2 linked regions of the Rattus norvegicus genome follow. The protein of the gene in region 2 interacts with the protein of the main gene of each other region in a biochemical or structural test. Links are inferred from orthologs where the notes say so. Each region holds a gene or a part of one and is shown on either strand. Other genes may lie near its edges.

Region 1 (3,902 bases), on a different chromosome or scaffold from region 2:
TTCATGCCCAGATATTCAAACACACAGGACACACACTGGCAGGTAACATACTTACTATCCCATCAAAACATAATCCAGACACAGAACACACACACACACACACACACACACACACACACACTCACACAAGTACGCAGAGATACCCAAAGACCCAGATCTGTGACACACGGTGTGTCACATACACACAGCTTCATAGTTATACACAAATGCCCATGCAGACACCACCCTCCCTCAGCACGTCCCTACTGCTTTAGAACACTTCTTCTTCTACTTGGGCTCAGGAGGCGATGCCAAGTTAGTCCATTCCCTACCTCTGATAGGCTGGCCTGGCCCGACAAGAGGAAGTGGTTGTAGAGCTGGGTCTAGCCAGGTGCCCCGGGGTGTTTCCTGTGTGCCACCCACAGCTGGGCTGCCCTGTGCCTGCCTACCGGGTCAGATAGTAGATGGAATAGAGGGACGGTTCTGGAGGCACGTAGCTTGCCTTCTTTCTCTGCCAGATCTCTGTCCACGCAGGCAGATGCCCGCGGGCACACAGACACTTTTCCTAGCGTGAATATGAACATTGTTCGTCATCTGCAGGTGGTGCCCTCTCACCGGATCGGGTTGTTAGTCTATAAAATGGGGTTAGTAATCCTTTCACCCCCTCCTCCCGGGGTTGTATGGGGACAGCACTGGTCGTGAAGGGCCACAGCAAGATGCTGCCTTCTTAGGACTGCAGTCCCTGCGGAAGCCACTAAAGTATCCAGCCATCTCCAGGGCAGATGTTGGACGTCCGCATCTGGAAGCTCTAGAAGAGCCAGGTGCAATCTTGGCCGTCGCTGCGGGCTGACCCCGGGGCAAGCTAACGCCTAGCTTCCAGGGGCCTAGAGATCTGCACCCGCAGCGCCCCTTCGGCGCCCTGCGGGGGTCACGCGCACTCAGGTCTCACCGCCAACCGAGCTCTCAGCGCTCCGAGCTGCTCCTGGGGCCTCGGGCTCAGTGGGCGGGGCAGGCTGCAGCCCCGCCCCATGCACAGCCTTGAAAACCAGCGGCCGACTAGCTTCAGTTCATAGGGAAGCTGCAGTCTGAGAAGGAAACTGCGTCTTCAGACTTCTGCTCACCCACGAGAGGAGCTAGGGTCATTGGACACCTGAGACCCTTTCACATCTCTCCAACTCACCGGGACGCTCCTCACTAGTTTCCTCAGCCACAGCCCTACCTGTGAGCTCCGGACTTTCCCGGCTTCCAGTGGATGCTCAGGCAGACTGCAGAGACTCAGGACAGCAGTGAACGGGACACCCATCTCCTCCCCTATCAGCGTCTCCTCCTAGGAGGACGGGCATGGTGATTTTGCCTTGAAGGACCTTGGCTCTGGACGTCTGAGAAGATGCTGGCCATGAAGCTGTTCACTTGCTTCTTGCAGGTCCTAGCTGGGTTGGCTGTGCACTCCCAGGTAAGAACCTGGCCTGGCTTCCTCTTGACCATCTCATCCCAGCCATAGAAACAGGGGCTATGGTCTTAAATTACAGACTCACTTTAGAGAGCAGCTTCTGCTAGGATGCCCACATATTTCCCAGGGGCTGGGCTGGACCTCAGGGAGGAGACCTCTGGCTGGGCTGTCCCCAATTCCTGGGGGCTGTCTTAGTGGGGGCAGGGAAGCCACAGGGAATGAAGGAGGTTTCCTGTCTGGCCCCTGGAGCCCTAGTGGCTTTGCAAAAACCATCCTTCCACTAATCCTACTCAGTTCCCTGGCCCTGTGGTCAGGGTTGTGGCCCCATGACCAACCAGGCGCCCCCAGGACCTCTGACCTGGCCTAGTGGGGAAGGAGCTGTAGCTAAAGAAGCTTGTGGTGGGGAGATGAGGCCCTTCCCCCACCACTGCTCCAGTTGAGCAGGGGGCTCTTGGGTGGGCTTCAGATAGGACAAGGGATCCCGCCATGCCCTTCCTCCTGGTGGGTGTCAGAAGGTCCTGAGTGCAGGGCCTGGGGAAGCGAGCAGGGCCCTTTTCCCAGGAGCTGGGTGAGTCTGGCTGCGAGCCAGATTGGGCAGCAAAATCCTGACAAAGCCAATGCATTCCCTTCCTGCTGCACTGCCCGCTGCACTGCCCACTGCCCTGAGAGCCCTCAGCCCCAGCCCAGGAGTGGGTGGGTTGTACAGTCCCCCTTGCCGAGCAGCCAGGCCATCATCCTGCTTGCTGCAGTGTTCGCTCGAGGTGTAACGTTACTGGCAGGCAACACCAGCTCCTGGCGCCGCCTTCTCCAGCCCCTGAGCTCCCACCAGCTGATCACCTCCCCCTGGGCTCTGGCACCCAGCCAAGGCGGGCTGTAGTAGGCCCAGCAGGGCTGGCCTGGGGGCTGGGTAGAAGAGAGACCCCACAGGATTACAAGCACTCTGGAACCCCAGAAACCTCCTCCTACCCTTTTCCAACTGAAGAAACTGAGGCCAGAGAGTCAGGTGGTTTTTAGCGGCAGATGGGGAGGAAGGAGCTCAGGGTGGGCTCAAAGAGCTGAGCCCCAAGAAGATGCTCCCTCCTCACAGCTCCACCTTTGTGTCCACCGCAGGGGGCCCTGTCTGCTGGGAACAACTCAACAGAAATGGAAGGTAAGCCAACCAGGCCAGCTATGCAAGCTGAGCCCCTCTCTTCTTTCCTCTTGAGCCCCAGCAGAGGAGAAGGGATTGGTCTGAAGGGTGGGAACAGGCCGATAGCAAGCTGGAGAGGGTCTGTAAGCTAGATATCATGGCTGAAGCCCAAGAGTTCACCTCTTGTGACCCCGCAGCCTAGAGAGGTGCAGTCATGGGTTAGGGTCACCAAGCACACAGAAAGCGCAGGACGTGATGGCTAGGGTTCTTCCAGCTGGCTGAGGGCCCCTGCCCAGCATGCAGTAAGGTGCAGATGGAGTCTTGGTGAACAGGATTTGTGTTGAGTGCCAGAGGCCAGACTGGAGTCTGGGAGCTGGATATCATAGGAAAGCAGTCAAGGGGCTTGGTCAGGACGAAGAGTCCTCCCTACCATTCCAACCCTGGTGGAGCTGTGCAGCGCTGACCAGGCCTTTCCATTGATTACAAACAGGCGGGCTCTGTCACACCCTCCCTGGCCCTTTCACTCTCTGCCCTGGGTTGTGTCAAGACATAATCTTCAAAGGGCAGTGGGACCTTTGCCAAAGAGAGGAGCGCGCCGAAGGCAGGGAGGGAGATCATTCCAGGCCCTTTCTCCTTCTCCCTTCCTGCTTCTCAGAGACGTGGATGATGGCCACATACCATTTCGAGGTTTCTGACAGCACGGGAGAGAGGAAGGATGTACTTGTAGCAGTGTCCTCATAGGCACAGATAATAGCTGGATTGCTTTTTGGGGCTGGGAACTGCCTGCTCTCTTGTCTATTCACCAGCCCCCTGGGAGCAGCCCCTCTTCTGCCTGCTCTCACATCTGAAGCCCAGACCACTGGGCTTCTACCACTGGGTAGAGAGGTAGCTGCCTCAGCTTTAGGAACTTGCCCGTTTTCTGAGCCCTCCGGAACTGGCACAGTGTTATGCTCCCCCGGATCTGAGGAGGGTCGTATCTCCCACCCCTACACCATATCCATTATTGAGGACTTTTGTATGTAGAGCAGGCACCAGCTTTCAAAGATGTCTCAGCCTCTGTTTTTTCATCTGTAAAATGGGAGAGCTCAACTAAGTTCTTGAAATCAAAGACTCTTTTCTAACATTGTGAGATCCTGAGTCCTTGGAAGAAACGTGAATGTATATTACTTCCCAAGATCCTGGGTGAGAAAACTTGGAGGTATACATTCAGAATGTAGGTCAGCTCACCCGTAATCCTAACAGGCAAGCGGGCCTGCGGTGTGGATGAGGAAACACCAGCTATTCAAATCTGGTATTACCATCCGCTCCTGCCAACACCAGAGTCAGAGGCAGTGTGGTACAGCC
Region 2 (3,810 bases):
AGGTAGACCGGCCTGGACTGGCCTGGCTATGATCGTTAATCTTTAATTGCAGGGTAGAAGATATAAATTAGGGTTTGCACCCTTTTCCTCCCACATGATCCTCAATAAGAAACAAAAGACCGGCCAGCCTACTCTTTCCTTTGCACACACTGAGGTCCATTACTCTGTGACTTTGACACCAGGGCCTTCTTTTGAGACTTCATCACAGGGAAAGGGCAAATATCTGCCTGGGAGTGCCCGTCTTTCCAGTGGCCTGGTGGACTGTGCAAATCCCATCACTGGAGGGGTTTGTAGGAGTTCAGTTGAGGCTCAGTCAACTACAGCACCGGGACTGGCAGCCTGGTGTTCTGTTATGCGCGTGGGTGTCGTGCTCCCCTGTATCTATGTGTCCCACACGTGTGCCTGGTGCCTGCAGACTCCAGAAGAGGGTGTCAGATGCCCTGGAACTAGAGCTAACAGTTGGCTGCTGGCCACCACGTGGGTGCTGGGAGTCAAATGGGGTCCTCGGCAAGAGCAGTCAGTGCTGCTCTTTGCCACAGCTGAGAGCCAGGCATTCGAGCCAGGAAAGGTAGGTGGGTAGGAAGGTAAGTGGCCAGGCTTGGGTAGCCTTCAGCATAGAGAACCACTGAGGTCATCTCTACCAGTCCACTCTACAGCCCGGGCCTGGTGATTCCGAAATGACCCAGAATGGAAGGAAGAACTGCCCAATGGATCAAGCCCCAGGGGATTGTGGGAACATCTACAAGTGAGATGCGGGTAATGGGTTCAGCAGGATGCAGAAAACCCTTATTGTAGAAGTTTGAATTCTCAAGGTTACAAACAGGACTGTGCTTCCTTGTGTAGACCCTGCTAGCCCAGGGACCAGAAATGGGAAGTGTTGTCTCGTGAGTCTGTGAACACGTCCCAACCCTTCCTCCACAGCTGGACACATCTGGCTCCTTTCCACCAAGGTCCCATATTTCTCAGGCTCAGCCTGCCTGTTATAAGAAGCCCCAGTCTTCCTTGTCACAGAACCTGGGGTTCATATGTCTTAATTTTATGACCCCTTTCTTGTCCCTCTGGGGGGGTGGTTGCTTTTCTACCATGCCCAAACACCAGGAGGCCAAGTAGCCTTAAACATCTCACTCACAAGCCCTCTTTCCTGGCATCCTCCACCCCAACTCCCACCCTTCCCCTCCCCCTCTCACACCCCCTTTCTTACTCTATTTTCATTGAGGCCTTGGGCTTGGTCTCAGTCCAGGTGAATCGCTTCAGCAAGGGGGAGGTCAGCAGACTGCTGGTATCCAGATGATAGTCCTGTGGGAGGGAGGAAAGGGGGAGGTGACCCACTTGCCTGGCCCGGCAGGCTCCTCGGTGACTCTGAAGACATTGGAGGCACCTCTGAGGTGTGGCCCAGTGCTGTCCTCAGCAAACACAGCCTCTGCCCACCAGCACTGAGCATTTTGTTTGCCCTGGCATCTTTGAGCTCATCAGAAAAACAGTGCCTGTTATGGGCAACTTTGAGACCCTTCTAGAAGGTGAAGAAAATTAAAAGGAAATCATGGCGTCTGAGGAGATGGTTCGGTGGAATAAGTGCTTGCCAATCACACATGAGAACCTCAAAGTCCTCATCAAAGTCAGGCATTGTGACCCATGTCTGTCACCACAGGCCTTGGGGTGGGAGGTGATGATGGAGACAGGTAGCTCCTGGAGCTTGTTGGCCAGCCTGTCTAGCCCAACTGTGACCTCCTGATTCCCTGAAAGATCCCGTCTTTAAAAACCAATCAATTAGGGGCTGGGGATTTAGCTCAGTGGTAGAGCGCTTACCTAGGAAGCACAAGGCCCTGGGTTCGGTCCCCAGCTCCGAAAAAAAAGAACCAAAAAAAAAAAAAAAAAAAAAAAAACCAATCAATTAACCAAAACCCCAGTCAGATGAACAACTGAGAAAGACACCCAACCTTGGTCAATGGGCTCCACACATACATTTCGGGGCAGGCACGCAGGTCCACACAGCATGCACATAGACACACACACATACCTGGGATGGAAAATCGTATGTAACTGCTTAGTATTTTCCATGTAAAACTCACTATCATATGTCAAATTATATATGCAAATTATCCTGTATGCAAATTATCATGTTAAAACTAACTTTGGTACCTGGCTAGGACTCTGATGTTGTACGTAAAATTTCAAGGAAATCATAGATGTGGCGGAATAATTTTCTTTCGGAGAGAGTCTGGCATTTGCCATGTGTGCATATTTGCATATGGCGTATGCCCTATGTGACACAGTTTCCAGGAACTGTGTGGTTCAGTCACCGTCATCATCGAGTTCTCTACTCGCTTTTCATTACTGTCACTATGGTGTGTTGTATCCTGTTAACAGGAAGTGGAGTCCCACTTTGTTTCTGCCTCCCGCTGAGGCTCTTACTGGGTTGTTTGTACACCAGGGCAGTGAAAGTGCTGTCACCGTTTGCCACATTTTAGGGCTAGCCTAAACTTGAGAAATTTTGAGGTTGGCTCAAGATTTCCGGGGACTTGAACTACTGAGCCACCGCACAAAATTTCTAACTACGTTATCCCGGCATCCTACTGCTTACAATGAAATGCCTTTATATTTTGAAGTCACCATGACCCTTTGTGAGTCTGATGAGGTTCAGGTCTTATACATATGGGGTTTTTTTTCCCCCTGCATGCATGTGCACTTCATGCATGCCAGGTACCCAAGGTCAGGGCTTCAGGTCCCCTGGAACTAGAGTTACAGATGGCTGTGAGCAACCATATTGGTTTTGGGAACCAAACTAGGATCGTCTGGAAGAGCAACCAGTGCTCTTAACGACTGTGCCATCTCTCCAGCTCCCAGCCTCAAGGTTTCTCCTCTTGAATTACGACACTGTGTTTGTCTCAGGAGCCCACTCAATTCCATTCAAGGGCCTTTCCATAGACTTGCTGACAGAAGCTGCTGGTTGGCCAGGTTACTCTGGTGTGCTTTGCCCAGTGTGACTGTGGGGGAACATGGCTGCTCAGCTGCAGAGCCTTCTGCTAAAGGGGCCTAGGGCCTACGTGGACTTCTTTCAGACTTCTGCACAAGGCCTCTGTTGTATCTCAAGGCCCAGTCACTCACACATCTTATATTCTTAAAGAAAGAAGGGTGCATCATTGTTAGCCTACAAGAATTCTAGGCAACACACATTGTGCCACACCTCTTCCCCTCTAGAGAGCTGGTGGAATGGAATGGCTTTAGAATGAACTCCAGGAGATCTTCAAACTGTGGCATTCTCTTTCACATCAGCTCTGCACAGTGAAGTCTGGCGTCTATTCTTCCCCCCTACTGTAACCTTGGCCTCTTCAGATCACTGGCCCTCACTGGCCAGGCACTGCCTTGGGGTAGGTGTTAGACAGGGAGAGATTTCTGACAGGAAGTACTGCGTCGTTATTGTCATGACTTACTTCAAACATGGAGGTGGCATTTGGTGAAAGCTCCTCAAAGGTTTTGATTCTTTCCAGGCTCATGAATTTGAAAGCGTTTACGTATCTAATGAAGAAGTAGAAAGAATAATCAAGGTAGGAAAAGGCACACTCCTTCGATGAATCAGCACATTCTGGAACTTGAGTGGATCCCACCTAGCAACCAAAATACCAACCGGCTCAGACTCACTCCTTCATATGCTCTAGGGACCCTCAGGGTAACGTCACTTCCTCCACGTAGTCAATTCAACTTTACATGTAGTCTTCAGGAAGGGCCCACTCCAATGGAATCAAATCATGCTAGTCATAGAGGAGCTGTGAGACCTCATCTGGCCCAAGGGTCTTTTTTTTTTTTTTTTTT

What was found.
Region 1: the proteins of Flt1 (region 2) and Pgf are reported together in a solved structure, tested with the Homo sapiens proteins (2 studies listed by BioGRID and IntAct, with this or other methods). The link is inferred for Rattus norvegicus from reciprocal best matches to the Homo sapiens genes FLT1 and PGF.

The regions. Positions count from the first base shown.
Region 1 is NC_086024.1:110,554,908-110,558,809, reverse strand, and holds the start of Pgf (placenta growth factor precursor), read left to right. Parts: upstream 1-1,062; 5' UTR 1,063-1,366; coding exon 1,367-1,432; intron 1,433-2,539; coding exon 2,540-2,579; intron 2,580-3,902. UniProt on the Homo sapiens protein: Growth factor active in angiogenesis and endothelial cell growth, stimulating their proliferation and migration. It binds to the receptor FLT1/VEGFR-1. Isoform PlGF-2 binds NRP1/neuropilin-1 and NRP2/neuropilin-2 in a heparin-dependent manner.
Region 2 is NC_086030.1:12,497,338-12,501,147, reverse strand, and holds part of Flt1 (vascular endothelial growth factor receptor 1 isoform 1 precursor), read right to left. Parts: intron 3,517-3,810; coding exon 3,432-3,516; intron 1,297-3,431; coding exon 1,202-1,296; intron 1-1,201. UniProt on the Homo sapiens protein: Tyrosine-protein kinase that acts as a cell-surface receptor for VEGFA, VEGFB and PGF, and plays an essential role in the development of embryonic vasculature, the regulation of angiogenesis, cell survival, cell migration, macrophage function, chemotaxis, and cancer cell invasion.